Sus scrofa: one gene and its partners. The protein of the gene in region 1 purifies or fractionates together with the protein of each later gene. This does not show direct contact. Links are inferred from orthologs where the notes say so. Each region holds a gene or a part of one and is shown in the gene's direction. Other genes may lie near its edges.

Region 1 (3,312 bases):
GCACATGGAGGTTCCCAGGCTAGTCGACCGGCCTAGGCCAGAGCCACAGCAACACAGGATCCGAGCCACGTTTGCAACCTACACCACAGCTCACAGCAACGCTGGATCGTTAACCCACTGAGCAAGGGCAGGGACCGAACCCGCAACCTCATGGTTCCTAGTCGGATTCGTTAACCACTGCACCACGACGGGAACTCCAGGATGGGCCATACTTTGGTGAGGCCTCCACCTGCTGATGGATTTGGTTCCTCCCCCCACCCCATTTCTATGACTCCTCTACTGTGAACGGAGTTGCTGTTAACATTTCTGTGCAAGCATTTGTTTGAACACCTGTCTTCGGGTCTCTAGGGCCTGTGCCCAGAAATGCAATTGCTGAATCACATGAAAATTCTGTTTAACATTTTGAGGATTGACTAGACTGTTTTCCACAGTGGCTGCACCACTTCTCATTCCCATCAGCAATGTATGAGGATTCCAATGTCTCCACACCTTCACCAGCACTTGTTACTGTTCTCTTTTTAATCGTTGTTATTATTATTGTCATGCTAGTGGGTGTGACATGGTATCTCGCTGTGGTTTTGATGTGCATTTCCTTGATGGCCAGTGATGTTGAGCATCTTTTCATGTGGTTGTTGGCCATTTACGTATTTTCTATTTTAAACTGTCTGTGAAGTCTTTTGCCCAACTTTTAAATGAGTTGTTTATCTTTTTGTTGTTGAGTTGTAAACGTTCCTTATGTATTATGGATACTAGGCCCTTAACTGACACATGACTTGCAAATATTTTCTCCCATTTTGTAGATAGTTTTTTTACCTTGCCAATAGTATTCGTGAGTTCATTTTCATGGAAAATAAAAGACACATCTCTTTCATTTAAAAAATCTGAATAAAAAACCTGAATAAATATTGTCATAAACCAATGGTTGTTATCTCTGGCTTGGTTGGACTGTCACTATGTTTTGCTATTTCTGAATTAACCCCGGCAATGATTTCCAAGGTTCCTAATTTTGCAAACTGGTAAATGGAAAGTGAAAGTTGCCAATTGTTAGCTCTCGGTATTATGATGCTATTTGTGCATCGTGAAAAGGATGTGAGGCACTGGGCGTGCCGGGGGTTTCTGAACACGTACCTCTGGAGGCGGGGATGCTGTCGTGTGCCTGGCTGGCAGCTGGAGAGACTCTGTACCCCCTTCCTCAATGTCCTGTCATTGCTATTTGTTTTTTCCTGCCATGCACTCCGGAGCCTGCCTTGGGAAAAGGAAACCGAAACTGAAGCCGATTTCGATTTCGGCTCCCGCGGTGGTTGGCTCCTGGACTCCGCCCTCTGACGCGGCTGCTCAGGCTTTTTAAAGGGCTGAGCCGCCACGGCTGAAGAGCAGCGGCGAGCTGAGCGGCAGCGACGCAGAGCGCACAGAGGCAGCGAAGCAGAGCTCACAGAGGACCTGTCGCCAAAGCCCACGGCCATGGTGAGGGGGGTTTGACAGGTGGGGCAGGTGGCCTCTCCCAGGGGCAGAACACCTATGTGTACCAGGCAGACAGAGCTGCTCAGGGCCCGCCAGGTTCCTAAGCATGAGGGGAGGGATGGGGCTCCTCCTGACGTCAGGGTCTGTGTCCTCAGAGGGCTGAGATCCCTTGGGGTCGGCACAGGGAGGCATCTTAGCTGGTGAAGGGAGGTGACATGATGGTTGTGGGTGGTGGCCATTCTAGAAATGCCCCCTTGCCCTCTCCAGTGCCCGGGGTCCCCCTCCTGGAGGGTGGGGAGGGTAGGGAGGAGGGAGCAGCACTCCTGGGCTCTAGGAGCTTTTGCCCCACTATGTGGTGGCCCTGGGACTGGTGACAGGGTCTCTGAGCCTGTGTGACGCCCACAGGGTAGGGAACTGAAGGTGAAGATGCTGGGAGGCAAGGAGATCCTGGTGCCCTTGAGGGACTGCATGATGGCATCGGACCTGAAGCAGCAGATCGCCCGGGAGATCGGTGTGCCCGCCTTCCAGCAGCGTCTGGCTCACCCAGCCGGCAATGTGCTTCAGGATGGGGTGCCCCTGGTCAACCAGGGCCTGGGCCCAGGCAGCACAGTCCTGTTGATGGTGCAAAGCTTCAGAGACCCACTGAGCATCCTGGTGAGGAACGACAAGGGTCGCAGCAACGCCTATGAGGTCTGGCTGACGCAGACAGTGGCTGAGCTCAAGCAGCAGGTGTGTCAGCAGGAGGGCGTGCAAGCTGACCAGTTCTGGCTGACTTTCGAGGGGAAGCCCATGGAGGATGAGCACCAGCTGGGGGAGTATGACCTCAAGCCTATGTGCACCGTGTATATGAATCTGCGCCTGCGGGGGGGCGGGACAGGGCCAGGGGAGCACCTCACCGAGTGCTAGTAATAAAGCTGTGGCAAAATTGAGTGTAACAAAGCGTCCATTCTTCTCTGGCCAGCACCATCTCGGTGTCAGTCCTCCATTCTGCACCCATTTTGGTGAGACAGGAGGTGAGATGGAGGAGGGAGTGGGATGAGGGGACCCAGAGGTTGCTGGGTGGTCACCAGACTAGAGTTGCCAAGTTAAGGGACAAGCCTTGTGGGATCAAAATGGTGCCCCACACACACCAGAGAAATCGAAGATGTGTCCCCACATCTTTGGGAAATTACCTTCTAGAGAAATAAAAAGAGGCACAGCCGCTAGAGCCCATCCTTGTCTTCCTGCTGTGCCGTGGTCAGCTCTGCAGCCCCACATCTGGGTCAGCAGATAGCACAGGGAGGAGAAGGCCTGGCCAGGTGAGTGCCCCTGGAAGCAGTGGGGGCATGAGCCCCTGTGGCCTGTCTGGGTGAGCTGTGAGGGAAGCCAGCCTCCCCCGTGAGCCCCACAGGAGCCAGGCTGAGTCAGCCCTGGACATGGGGGAGGCAGGAGCACAGGACGTGGACCTCTCTGGGCATGGCTCTGAGGACCTCTGCTTTCGGGCTCTTCAGGGCATTTGGCTGAAGACCCAGAAGCCTCCTTCCTGGTCTGTGGGGGTCCACAGCTGAGTGGGGGAGGGGGAGCAGACCTGCCTGTGACAGATATATGTGTAGATATGCAGGTGAGGGTGCATCGGCGGGGGTGCTCCTGGCTCCAGCCTCACTTCCTGCACCTCCACCCCCACCTCTGTGTCATACCGTAACTTAGTGTGAGCACACACCCTCAGCGCCACCCTCCTCTTTTGAATCCCTCCACCAGGGTCTGGGCGGAGTAGCGTCCTCCTCCAGAGGGGTCTCTTCCGCTGCTCATCCTCCGTTGCCTCTGGCTCCGAGATCCACGGCCGGCTTGCGTGAGGGTGTGCGCGGCGGACCC
Region 2 (4,796 bases), on another chromosome or scaffold:
TCTTCATTTCTTTTTTTTTGTCTTTTTGTTGTTGTTGTTGTTGCTATTTCTTGGGCCGCACCCGCGGCATATGGAGGTTCCCAGGCTAGGGGTCAAATCGGAGCTATAGCCACCGGCCTACGCCAGAGCCACAGCAACACGGGATCCGAGCCGCATCTGCAACCCACACCACAGCTCACGGCAATGCCGGATCGTCAACCCACTGAGCAAGGGCAGGGACCGAACCCGCAACCTCATGGTTCCCAGTCGGATTCGTTAACCACTGAGCCACAACGGGAACTCCCCTCTTCGTTTCTTATTCAGGTTTCTGACCTGTATCATTTTCCTTCTCTCTGAAGAATCTCTTTGAACATTTCTTTCAAGGTATGTCTTTTGGAAACAAATTCTCTCAGTTTTTGTTTGTATGAGAAAGTCTAAATTTATCTTTCACTTTTGAAGAATAATTTTGTAGGGTACAGAATTCAGGTTGATTTTTTTTCCCCTTCTGAACACTTTAAATTTCACTCTGCTCCACTTCCATGGTTTCTGAGAAGTTGCATGTAATTTTCATCTTTGCTCTACTATAAGTAAGGCTTTTTTCCTCTCCTCTGGCTTCTTTCGAGATTTTTCTTTATTTTTGATCTTCTGTAGTTTGAATATGATATGCCTAGGTGTAGTGTTTTTTGGAACTATTCATGATTGATGTCTCTGACATTAGCATTTTACATTAATTTAAAGAAAATTGCTGTCCTTATTGCTTCAAATATTTCTCCTATTACTTTCTCTTCCTGGTATTCCCATTATACATATGTAACACTTTTTTATAGTTGTCTCACAGTTCTTAGATATTATCTTTTGGGTTTTTTTTCCATTTTTTTTTTCCCTCTTTGCATCTCTGTTTTGGAAGTTTCTATTAACATTTCCTTAAGCTCAGAAATTCTTTCCTCAGCTGTGTCCAGCCTACTGATTAGCCCATCAAATGCATTTTTTTATTTCTGTTACAGTGTTTTGGTTCCAGCATTTCTTTTTGGTACTTTCTAAGAATTTCCATCTCTCTGCAGACATTGCCCATCTGTTCTTGCATGTTGTCTATTTTTTCCATTAGCCCTTTGCATATTCATCATATTTATTTTACATTCCTGGTGTAATAATTCTAACAACATTCTTGCCATATCTGAATCTATTCCACTTTATTATTATGTAATGCTCCTCTATATCTCTGATAACTTTTATTGCTCTGAAGTCTGCTCTGTCTAAAATTAGTAGAGTTACTCCTGAATTTTTTTGACTGGTGTTAGCATGGCATATCTTTCTCCATGCCTTTATTTTTAATTTACGTATGTCTTTATTTATATATGCATGCATTTGGTCACACCTACAGCATGTGGATGTTCCTGGGCCAGGGATTGAACATTGCTCTGGCTCTTCAAATGGTGTCTGTCTTTTGCCTTTTAGTATGCCTTACAAGTTTTTCTTGAAAGATGGACTTGTACTGAGTAAAAGGAACTGCAGTAAATAGGCCTTTAATGATGTGGTGGTTAGGTGTGGGGGAAGGGAAAATGTTTTATAGTTTTATGATTAGGTGTCAGTCTTTTGATGAGCCTGTGCTGCTGGGCTGTGAACGTCACACGTGCTTCTCTGTTGTTGTGGGTTTTTTTTTTTTTTTGCCCCACTCCCCCCCCTTAATTGGAACAAGATGCCTAGAGGAGCAGGAGTTGCGTATTTCGCTTCCCCAGTGTAAGAATAGAGCCAGCTGGGGCTGGGCATTTCCCTTCCCCTAGGTCAGTTAGGCACAGATAAAATCCCAGCAGGTTAGGCCCTAGAAAATAGCTTCTCCTGCAGGCGGACCTTGTTAAGAAGTGAGTGCTCTGGCACATTTCAAGGTGGTTCCTCTTCGGCTCCTTCTTCAGGAAACACAAGAAGATTTTCCTCTCAGATCTCCACTGTGAGAGTCTAGTAGGGCTCCTAGAGGCAAAGCTCACAAAGTGTGGATTCCTCTGGAATATTTAATTCTCCGATTTGTCTACTCTGCGGCTCCAGCCACCTGTCAAATACAGTTCAGCTTTCCTGACTGCGGCACTGGTTCCTGAGGAGGTTTCTGCTTGTGGGTTTCCGCTCTGGTAAGTTGTGATTTTCTGTGTCTCCCTGTCTCTCTAATGTGAGGGCCCGAGATTTGCCCTGAGACCTTCGTTCTCTCATGGATTTAAGAGTGGGTGATTTTTCAGTTTGTTCGGCTTTTTCTTGTTTTTAGAATGGAGGAATGACTTTCAAGCTCCTTCCAGGCCAGACCAGGAACTGCACCCCTTTTCCTTTTTATAAAATGATACCTGAGTGATATTTTCTGATCCAGTGTAGAATTTAGTGAAAACGTCTACATTCTGGTCATTGTTGCTATATTATTCCCTTCCGTTAATCCTTTTGGGCTATAATTGTTTCCCCAAATACTTTTTAGCTGTTAACAGTCTAGTTCTTTCCTCTGTTTGTTTTTCTTCAATTCCACTCCCACTCTGTCTTGGAGTGCTAACAACCAGTACCACCCATGTGTGCCAGTTGGGTCAACATTTAAACAAGGATGTACTGTTTACACTGTTGTTTCTAACATTCTGGTTGCAAACACCGCTTTGTGCTTTGTGAATTGAATTGGTGACAGGTGAAACTTAGGCTGATGGCAGAGAATTTGGGGTTATAAATGATGGTTCGAAGCTAGATTTATTTCGTTTTCTCTAAACCTATTAAATCTGTCCAGGTTGAAGCTCACTTGTATTGTATGCACTCACATTACGTAGAGAAATGGCTTTCAGCCTTGCCTTTGTAATAGATTCACTGGCTCTATTTCTATTTAATTGGTCTAGATGGGTCCTGGTATCAGTATTTCTGAAAGTTCCTTGAGTAATTCTACCATGCAATTTGAGGTAAGTCCATTGGTCTGTAGCAATGGTCAGCAAAACTTTTCTTTAAGGAGCGGAGAGTAAATATTTTAGGCTTTGAAGATCATTTGAAGATCATATATTCTCTACTGTAATTACTCAGCTCTCATGTAGCCGCCACAGGCAAATGGGCATGGCTATGCTCTAACAACTTCCTTTCTAGAGACCAAAATTCTAATTCATATACTTTTCATGTGTCATGAAATATTCTTATTCATTTGATGTTTTTTTTCAACTATTAAAAAATATAGGAGTTCCCGTTGTGACTTGGCAGTTAACAAACCTGACTAGGATCCATGAGGATCCCTGGCCTTGCTCTGTGGGTTAAGGATTCGGCGTTGCCATGAGCTGTGGTGTAGGTCTCAGACACGGCACAGATCTGACATTGCTGTGGCTGTGGTGTAAACCAGCAGCTGTAGCTCTGATTCAACCCCTAGCCTGGGAACCTCCATATGCTGCGAGCGCAGCCCTAGGAAGAACAAAAAAAAAAAGTACAGATTGGTTTTGTCTTACAGGATTTACGATAACAGTCTGCAAGTGGGATTTGGCCTAGGGACTGTTGTTTGGCAGTTCCTAGTTAATGGTTTATTTTCTTCACTGCTTCAATTTGGTTCCAAAAGAGAAAATGTTTCCTTAGTTACATCACTGATAATATCTTCAATGAATCCCAGAACTGACTACTTATTTTAAGTCAGTTTATCAGAACATTTTTAAACATGGCAATGCATTTCCTTATTAGGCTCTGAAGTTGTGGCCATTGAGATGCTTTTATCTATGAGTAACAAGCATGGCTTAAAAGGCTTTCAACAGTAGGAAAGGTATTATCTCATTAAAATAGAGAGAATTGCAGGGCTATTGTTATTTGAAAATGTCATCAGCCCAGATGTTTTCCATCTTTCATTCTACTATCCTCAATATTAGTCCTGCCTGATGTCTTGCCTCATGGTGGCAAGATGGCTGTAGTAGCCCTGGGCATCACATGCAGACTCACAACATCCAAAAAAAACAAAGAATAATTCCTTCCTTGAATTTATTTTGAATGTGGGGCAGTCTATTTTTAGACCAAGGCCCTCCTCCTATGTAAATCTCCCCTTAAGTCTCAAGGACCAAATCAGGCCCTGGTGAAGGAATTGAGATTACCATGATTACCTATCATGATGCTTGCCTTGGCTTCAGGATCTGGTCTGCCTTTCACAGGTGGCCCCAGGATCCCAGAATCAAATCAGGGTTCTGATAGCAAAGGAAGAGGAAGAAATGGCAGTGGGGCAAAAAAAAAAAAAAGTCTCACACAGAACTAGATTGTTAGGATTAAAAAAAATAAGGCGGCTGTCTCCTAAACTCCTCATTTCCATTTGTTTATTTACTTCCTTTAAAAGACCATTAGACAATTGTTGAGTACAATTTTCCTGAAAGATAGCTTATTGATTTTTCACTCAAGTAGGTTACATTTTGCTTCAGCCTTCAAAGACATTTCTATTACTCCCTTCAGATTACATTTAAAAAGGAATGTATCCGATTTTGGCTTACTTTGTTCTTTTTCTAAACCTGTACCACGTTGTGTGTGTAGCATAAAAATGTCCATGTCAAAAAAGGTTTAAAAAGAGTCATCACTTTTTTCTTTTCATTTTGAACTATCAAAAGATTGTTTCGTTTTGCAGGTTGTACTCTGGAAATAGTAAAAGTAGTTTTCCCTCCAAAATTAAGGACCTAAAGAGTTGAAGAACCATGAATGTCACCTCCTGCCCCTCCCCAGCCCCATGGGTATCCTGACATACCTCCAAGTGGTACACGACCCACCTCTACCTGCCTATTTGAAAATCATGGAGGGAGATCCGTATCTATCCCAAACTCAGCTGTGCCCATCCTATTGTGAGCCTTGACCCCCGGTCA
Region 3 (4,605 bases), on another chromosome or scaffold:
CTTTCTAGTGAACTCTTAAGTGTCTTCTAATTGGATGGAGAGTTTCACCAGACACATCCTAAGACAAGGATGTCTCACTCAGAGTGAAGTGGACTGGATATTAATTTACATGCAGAACTTAAATTTAGTTATTCGTGTCAAGGTCTGGTGAAAACAGAAATATCTCATAAGAAAGGAGAACTTTAGGAGTTCCCATCATGGCTCAGCAGTTAACAAATCCCACTAGCATCCATGAGGATTTGGGTTTGATCCCTGGCCTTGCTCAGTGGGTTAAGGATCCGGCATTACTGTAAGTTGTGGTGTAGGTCGCAGACGTGGCTCGGAGCGGAGGTGCTGTGGCTCTGGCATAGGCTGGCGGCTACAGCTCCAATTAGACCCCTAGCCTGGGAACCTCCATATGCTGCGGGTGTGCCCCCCCCCCCAAAAAAAGAACTTTGGTGCATTATCAGCTGCTGAGTGAGCTGAAGTGATCGCATTAGTCCCAGTCTCACCTAATAGCAGAGAGGATGTCCCTTTGGGAATGAGGCCCTGGCTGATACATTTTGATGAGTGCCTTTGGGTGGAAGAAAGCATGAGGAACAAGAACCCTTGGGCACGGGGTAGGTAACATTACCAACACTGCCTACTGGTGAATCTGCTACTCACAAAGGCAAGGCCCAAGCTGGGAAGAGCATGGGGGCTTTTAGGTGTAGTACATACTTTGGAGTTAGACCTAGGTTCAAGTTCAGCTTTATCCAGTCCTTACCAACTGACCTCCAGCAAATCTCTTCACTTAATCACTCAAGAGGGGAATGAGCCTTCAAAAAATTATTGATCTCAACAATGGGCTAGGGTCAGGGCCAGGTAATAATACCTTCTCTCCCTCAAGGCTGTTTTGAGCATTTCCAGTGAGTGAGGCAATCTGTCAGAAGAAAGCACTTTACCTTGTTTACAAATGACCTGTTATAGAGCATCCCAACCACAGATCTGCTGGCTTCTTCCACAGCTGGAAGCCCTTGACATTCATTCTGCCCAATGCCTCTTCCCAGATGGATCCTTAAGATAATTAGAGGAAGATGTGACTATGGAGAATGGGAGAGATAACAGTGTAGAAAAACTCAGCCTGATGTGGCTGGTTTTGAAGATGGAGGAAGAGGACATAGCCAAGAAATTCAGGAAGCTTCCAGAAGTTGGAAAGGGCAAGGGAATGGATTCTTCCCTTGAGCCTCCAGAAAGAAATGCATCCTGCCAATACCTGGATTTTAGCTCAGTGAGACAAGTGAGGGACTCTAAACTAAAAAAAAGCAAGATAACAATGTGTGTTTTTGTTTTTTAAAAACAGAGCTTTGGTAATTTGTTACAGGAGCATTAGGAAACTAATACACACAGTAAATTATCATTCATTTGTATCACTGCCATTAAGCTTTTTGTGATGGTTTTATATTTTTCTCATATATTAGTCTATGAAGTCTAGGTTAAGTTATAAGTTTGTCTTATCATTGGTTGGCAAGCTCTAGGAAGGTTAGCACGCAGTAGGCACTCAATAAATACTGTGACTGACAATTCATACGAGTTTAATTAATATGAAAAGTAAAATGTCCATTACTTTCACGATGTCCTCCAGGACCTAACATAGTGCCTGGCACAGCAGGAACTCAATAAAAATCCTTATGGAATCTTATTGAACCTAGATGGAAAAAGTACCTTCTGCACCAACTCCATTCCCTGTGATCTACGCCGTCGTCCCTGTCCATTCCGTCCAGCCCAGATCCCTACTTCTGCAAGTGCCCTCACTATGGGACCTGGTGACCTTCCTCTTGAGTAGCCGGACATCTCCTGCCTAGCTTTCTTCTGCAGAGGCAATGAACACCGAGCGCCGGTCCCGGACGCCTTGCAGCTCGCAGGGCGCAGTGCTCATTTGGAGCTGCAGGGGGCAAGCGTGACCCGGGAACTCCCGCCAGAGGGTCGGGACGGGGCGGAGCTTCAGGGGCGGGTCGTCTCAGTGCGCAGGCGCGGGGCCAGGCGCCTCGCGCGGCCAGGGGCAGGCGGGCGCAGAGCAGTCCCGGCCGCGGCTTTGGTAGCAGCGAGTTCGAGCCCCGCTCCCGCTCCGCTTTGGTTTTCGCTCCCCCGGCCCTTGGGCCTCCCGACGCCAGTCCCCGGCAGCTCACTGCTCATAGCGCTCTCCCCGCCGCCAAGATGCCGGTAACCGAGAAGGATCTGGCGGAGGACGCGCCTTGGAAGAAGATCCAGCAGAACACGTTCACGCGTTGGTGCAACGAGCACCTCAAGTGCGTGAACAAACGCATCGGAAACCTGCAGACCGACTTGAGCGACGGGCTTCGGCTCATCGCGCTGCTGGAGGTGCTTAGCCAGAAGCACATGTACCGCAAGTACCACCAGCGGCCCACCTTCCGCCAGATGCAGCTTGAGAACGTGTCCGTGGCGCTCGAGTTCCTGGACCGTGAGAACATCAAGCTCGTGTCCATCGGTGAGTGCCCTGGCCGAGCCGTGCGCCGGCGTGTACTTCTCGCGCCCCCGCGCGTGCGCCCCTGAGGAGACTGAGGCTCCCTGTCGCGCGCCTCCGCCGCGTCCAGCAGCCACCGGCTGGATGTGGGCACAGAGGCCGGGGTGGGTGGGGGTGAGGACAAAGGGGACCTAGGCACCCTCCTGCATGCCGTTCCCTGGGGTGCTGTCTTACAGTGATAGTTCCTTGCCTTGCGCCGGGGCCGTGCGCCTTTGGCGGGCGATGGGTTGAGGGTTCATGTTGGGGCCGCTTGGGGGGAGTGCGGGCTGTGGCACTTGGGGTGCCCCTGCGGAAGCTGGGGGACTGGAAACCTCTGGTCGGCAGTCCCCGGGGGTGGGGCCCTAGTCAGACGCTCCCTGGAGCGCTCGCCCAGCTGCGCCCAGGCCGATGCGCTGGGCGGTCGCCTGATGGGCGTTGGCTCGGAGGCCAGGTGCGGAGGCCTTGGGGAGGGAGTGTGCTCCGAAACTGGGGCCCTGCCGCCTAGGTGGAGACGGGGGCCTGGGACCCTCCCTCGCCGTCTCCGGAAGGGGAGCCCGGGGGTGTGGCATTCGCGCTCGCTCTGGCCCCGCGCTGCGAGCTGAGCCAGCTCTCGCCTCTGAAGATACTATTGAGAGTCGGCGGCGGTAGCGGCCGCTTGTAGGGAGCTAGTGCGCGCTGTGTGCCAACAGCCTCCTGTTAACTCGGTCCTTACACACCCCGTGAGTTGGGGCGTGTAAGACAAGAGGGTCCAGAGGGTTAACGGGCTTGCCCAGGGCTATGGAAGTAGAGAGGGTCTAGCCGAGAATTGAAGGAAGCGGGTGACAATTAAAGGAGACTTGGCCTTCCTCTCCCCGCCCTCCCCACACCAGGGTCTTCCTGAGAGGAGGGAGGGAGTTGGCGTTGGGTTCCTCTCCCCCCAAGGCTGGGGAGGAGTGATGAGGGTGAGGTCCCCGCTAGGACCAGGGCTAGTGGAGGGCTTCCCGCAGGGTCATAAGGCTGCTGAGGGTGTGGGTTGTAAGGGTAGGAGTCAGGGGTGTGTAGTGTGCGTTTGTGAGTATATGTGCAGTCTGTGCACAGCGTGGTGTGCACATACATTGTATGCATGTTCTGCCAGGTGAGCCTCTTGCCATTGAGCAGCTGGCCCAGGCCTGGGTCTAGGGTCCCTTCTTGAGGAGGCCAGGCCTTCTATTAACCCCCTGACAGGAAGGAGGGGCATTGGGTGTGACTGCTGGGACTTTCCAGCCTAAAAGGGGTTCCCTCTGGGCTGAGTCTCCTCATCCTCTCCCCACCCTCCCCCACACCTGTCCTGGCAGGTGGGGCTGCTTCCTGGGCCCAGGCAGCAGCCACCGCCCCGTCAGCCTCCCTCTGGAGGGTGGCTTCCCTGCACAAGGAAGCTGTGTGGCATGCTCTCTTCTTTTGGGGGCCCATCTTCTGTAATGAGGGAAGGGGGAACCTCAGATTTCTCCTGGAATTCTTTCCTTTTCAGAAACCAGCTTTCCCACTGAGGAATCTCCAGGGCTACAGGGCTCAACTTGGATCCCTTGTTCTTTGCCTGAAAAATGTGTATTTATTTAATTAACTGAACAAAGAAACTTAAAGTAAACCAGGAGTATCCAAACATGCATGGCAAGAAATCTTAAAAACCAAAACAAACATCAGACCACAGCACCAGAAAATCCTGGACTGCCCACTTTACCAACTGTTGACAGAGTCTGCAGCTGCCTCCCGCATGGCTTCCCTTTGGTGCCCTGAAATTGAGGGTCTCATTCTAGAGTTTGTCTGGTCCCTTACATGTTTCTACTTGATCCTTGTGATTTTCATTCCTGAACCCACCCAGGCCATAGCTTCTTCCCTTTTCCTGACATTCCAGGGTTAGCCTCCCCTTCCCCAGTTGTGGCCTGTGGATTGTTGGCAGCTTCTTGCTATGGACCTCTTCCCACCACAATTTATATTGTTTTATTTTATTTTCTCCTTTTATTTCTTTATTTTTTTTTTGTCTTTTGGACTGCACCTGCGGCATATGGAGGTTTCCAGGCTAGGGGTTTAATCAGAGCCATTGCTGCCAGCCTACGCCAGAGCCACAGAAACGCCAGATTATTAACCCACTGAGCGAGACCAGGGAT
Region 4 (3,761 bases), on another chromosome or scaffold:
TCTTTCCTGATGGGGAGCAGGTGGGTGAGCAAGAAAACTATCTGGCAGTGCTCTCTCTCGAAGAGGAAACTGTGGTGGAAACTGAGGCTCAGGAAGGGCATGAGGCTGGTGTCCCCCAGCTTGTTGAGAGGCCTGGAATCTGGCTTCCAGCCACTCAGGAATCCTGAGCAGAGCAAGGCCCCCCATGGAACTGGCAGGAGTACAATCTCAGCCCAGCCCCTGGAGAGAGCGGGTCTCAAAAGGAGAGGAAGGGCTCCAAGGTGGGAGCCCCACAAGGGTAAGAGCCCTGAACACGAGAGGGGCAAGAATCTTACTCTGTCGTGTCTCAGAGGAGACGGTGGACCAGGCACTTAATCCCTCTGGACCTCGGTTTCCTCATCTGAAAAGGAGGGATAACAGGATGCAAGTCAGAGAAGGCAGGCTGGACTGGAGTCAGGGCAATGAGAAAGAGAGAACGCCAAGGTTGTGGCCAGACCCTACGGGAGGTGGGAGTGGAGGCCTGGATCCCACAGGTGCTCACCCAGGAGGTGGGGTCAAGGAGCAGGCCTCAGGCTCCCAGCAAGTGTGCAGGAATTGCACTGCCTAGAGCCCCTCTCCCTCTGTGCTGTGGGAATGCTAAACAAAAGGGCTCTGAGGTCATAATCTGTAAAAAGGGAAAGGAGGGGCCTTGGCCCAAGCCAAAGCCCAGACTAGATTCAAGGCCGCTGCATCTCAGGTTCCCTGTCCCCAGCTCAAGGCAAAGTGGATACAATGGGGAGTTTTGACAATAACCTCCCTCCTGACCCCCTTTCAACACTAGGCCTCAGGGTTTCTGGTCTGGGTCTCCCCTACTAGGGGGTCCGGGGGACATCGCCCAAACGTCCACATGCTGCTGCCTCTGAGCTCCGCTTCCTCCGTCTGTGCCCTGCAACTCCAGGTGGCTGACAGTAACGGTCACCCACCAGGCCCTGGACTAAAACCTTCACTCGCATTAAGCTGCCGAATCCTCACACCAACTCAGGGACGGAAGCATTGTCATCATCATCACCCCCATTTTCCCGGTGGCGAAACTGAGGCACAAAGACTCTCACTTGTACAAGTTCATCCAGTGAGTGGCAGGACCAGGATGTGAACTCACACAGTCTGGACTCTCAGGCCCACACTCCTCACCATGTTGCTTCTTAAGCCATTATTTCACAGACACCCTGTGGTCCATCTCCCTGCTCTGCCAGTCCCTGCTGTGTGGCCCCGAGCAGCGCGACCACTCCCTCGGCTTTGTCCTCTTGCACAAAAAGCCAGGACTGTCCACAGGCTGCGGCCCAGCGCTTTAGCGCCGAAATCTGCCAGTGTTAGGCAGCGGGCACTGCACCAGCATCGGGGCTACAGTCATTTGTTTTCTCAAACAGGAGAAGGTTCCAGATGTGGGCAGGGCCTCCCTCGCCCCGCCCCGCGCCCCGGTATGCAGTTGGGGGAATGCAGGGGGAGGGGCTGCCCCCAGCCAGTCATTGCCATTAATAGAGACCTGAAACACCGCCTGCTAAAAATACCCGGCTGGCCCATTATAAAAGCGCTGCGGGCTCGGCCCACCGACACTAACTCCCCTTCTCCCAGCCGCAGCCGGACGCGTCCAGCCAGCGCAGCCAGCATGACTGAGCGCCGTGTGCCTTTCTCGCTCCTGCGGAGCCCCAGCTGGGACCCTTTCCGCGACTGGTACCCGGCCCACAGCCGCCTCTTCGACCAGGCCTTCGGGCTGCCCCGGCTGCCCGAGGAGTGGTCGCAGTGGCTGAGCCACAGCGGCTGGCCGGGCTACGTGCGCCCGCTGCCCCCGCCCGCCATCGAGGGCCCCGCCGCAGTGGCCGCGCCCGCCTACAGCCGCCTGCTCAGCAGGCAGCTCAGCAGCGGCGTCTCGGAGATCCAGCAGACTGCCGACCGCTGGCGCGTCTCCCTGGACGTCAACCACTTCGCCCCCGAGGAGCTGACGGTCAAGACCAAGGACGGCGTGGTGGAGATCACGGGTGAGCCCCCGGGGACCGGGACGCGCCCACCCCCCGCCCCTCCCGCGCTGCCTCTCGCGCTCTTTCCGGGGAGGAGCCCTGGAAAATGGAAACTTAGCCGAGGACGGGGCCAGAGCCCGGGGAGCCGGCCTGGCCTCTTCGCCCTGCCCCTGGCCTGTGCCTGCTTCCCTGGACTTTGGGGGGGGTGCTCCTAAGTCCTAAGGGATCTTTTGGCCCTAAAAGCTCTCCAGTCAGGGAAGAAACGCCCCCTTCCAGCGGAGACGCCCTCAGCCCCAACGCCATCCGCGAGGGACCAGGTCTCCCCGCGCCGCGCCGCCCCCCCCCGGCCCCCGGCCCCCGGCCTGCAGTTGGTGTGGCAAGGGCGACCCCCTCCCCCGACACGCGCACGCACACGCACGCACTTCCTCCCCATCCCTAGTCCAGGTCCTCGGAGGGGGCGTGTGTGCGTGCCCATGGCTGCTGCCCCACGCCCCAGCCCCAGACTCCTGGAACCGAACTTTCCAGAAGCTTCTGAGGTCCCGGGACAGGTCTGGGGTACCCACATCCCTTAGTCCTCTCCTGGCAAGCGTTCTGGCCACCGGGTGGGGCTCGGCTGGCTGTGGGCCAGCGGGAGCGCCGGCCCCTTCAGGCCTCCTCTGACCTCCCTCCCCCACCCAGGCAAGCACGAGGAGCGGCAGGATGAGCACGGCTTCATTTCCCGGTGTTTCACTCGAAAATACACGTGAGTCCTGGCTCCGGGTGGGGTGGGGGGTGGGGAGGGCCCAGGGACGCACCGTGGGTCACTCCTGTCCTGCCTCTCCCTGTCCAGGCTGCCCCCCGGTGTGGACCCCACCCAGGTCTCCTCCTCCCTGTCCCCTGAGGGCACGCTCAGCGTGGAGGCCCCGCTGCCCAAGCCAGCCACCCAGTCGGCAGAGATCACCATCCCTGTCACTTTCGAGGCGCGGGCCCAGCTTGGGGGCACAGAAGCTGGAAAGTCGGAAAAGCCCGGAACCAAGTAAAGGCCTTCGCCCTGCTGCTCACCGCCCCCCGCCCAAACCCGCACCAGCCATCCCCACCTGCCAACTCTCTGTGCTCTTTTGATACGTCTACCTTCTGTTTTTCTCGAATAAAGTTCAAAGCAACTGCCCGCCACTGTCTCAGACCCTGGTGTGCTTGTGGAGGCTCAGGCGTCACTCCTGGTTCACGCACTCATCACGTTTGCCGAGGGCCTCCTGTGTGCCAAGCCCTGTGCTGGCCCCTGTGCGTGCTGCGTCCATCACAGGGCACAGCCCTGCCCTCCAGTCCCTTGTTGAGGGAGAGACTGTTTATGCGGCAGTTAAAGCCCCCGGGGCCAGTGTGGGAGCAGGGACGCCAGGAGAGGCACCCGGCCGAGGCACTCAGGACACCTGGGCAGGGGGCGAGGGAGGGGGACGTCCCGGCAGCTCAGGGTTCCTTCCTGACCGCATCATAACCTCCTCATCTCCACGGAGAAGAGCAGGACCGCAAAGACGGGATGGGAGGGGTGGCCACCCATCTGAGGCGGTGGCCTCCGTTCCCCCAGGCCTGTGCAGGCAGGATGGGGCCTTGACTGGCCTGGCAGGAACAGTCACACCCACCTTGGCCCTTGCTTTTGTCTGTCCTTGTCCTACCCACCACCCACTCGCTGGCCCGGGGAGGGAGAAAGCAGACGGGGGCTTTGGAGTCCAGGCTTAAGTCCCCAAGATCTTGAGAGACCCCCACTATTTCTACCAAGGTCCCAGAGCCTGAGGCTGTGGCCATTTTCCTGCT

Evidence for each region. The genes of interacting proteins can lie anywhere in the genome.
Region 2: the proteins of ISG15 (region 1) and ubiquitin-conjugating enzyme E2 N-like purify together in Homo sapiens (affinity purification with western blotting; 3 studies listed by BioGRID, with this or other methods). This does not show direct contact. The link is inferred for Sus scrofa from reciprocal best matches to the Homo sapiens genes ISG15 and UBE2N.
Region 3: the proteins of ISG15 (region 1) and FLNB purify together in Homo sapiens (affinity purification with mass spectrometry; 3 studies listed by BioGRID and IntAct, with this or other methods). This does not show direct contact. The link is inferred for Sus scrofa from reciprocal best matches to the Homo sapiens genes ISG15 and FLNB.
Region 4: the proteins of ISG15 (region 1) and HSPB1 purify together in Homo sapiens (affinity purification with mass spectrometry; 3 studies listed by BioGRID, with this or other methods). This does not show direct contact. The link is inferred for Sus scrofa from reciprocal best matches to the Homo sapiens genes ISG15 and HSPB1.

Annotation. Positions count from the first base shown.
Region 1 is NC_010448.4:63,361,816-63,365,127, forward strand, and holds ISG15 (ubiquitin-like protein ISG15), read left to right. Parts: upstream 1-1,385; 5' UTR 1,386-1,461; coding exon 1,462-1,464; intron 1,465-1,866; coding exon 1,867-2,367; 3' UTR 2,368-2,396; downstream 2,397-3,312. Other genes in the region: uncharacterized protein LOC110261384, read right to left, coding at 2,948-3,312.
Region 2 is NC_010443.5:26,024,081-26,028,876, forward strand, and holds the start of ubiquitin-conjugating enzyme E2 N-like, read left to right. Parts: upstream 1-1,727; 5' UTR 1,728-2,099; intron 2,100-4,796. UniProt on the Homo sapiens protein: The UBE2V1-UBE2N and UBE2V2-UBE2N heterodimers catalyze the synthesis of non-canonical 'Lys-63'-linked polyubiquitin chains. This type of polyubiquitination does not lead to protein degradation by the proteasome.
Region 3 is NC_010455.5:39,787,723-39,792,327, forward strand, and holds the start of FLNB (filamin-B), read left to right. Parts: upstream 1-1,536; 5' UTR 1,537-2,175; coding exon 2,176-2,467; intron 2,468-4,605. UniProt on the Homo sapiens protein: Connects cell membrane constituents to the actin cytoskeleton. May promote orthogonal branching of actin filaments and links actin filaments to membrane glycoproteins. Anchors various transmembrane proteins to the actin cytoskeleton.
Region 4 is NC_010445.4:10,037,305-10,041,065, reverse strand, and holds HSPB1 (heat shock protein beta-1), read left to right. Parts: upstream 1-1,624; coding exon 1,625-1,994; intron 1,995-2,651; coding exon 2,652-2,715; intron 2,716-2,802; coding exon 2,803-2,992; downstream 2,993-3,761. UniProt on the Homo sapiens protein: Small heat shock protein which functions as a molecular chaperone probably maintaining denatured proteins in a folding-competent state. Plays a role in stress resistance and actin organization.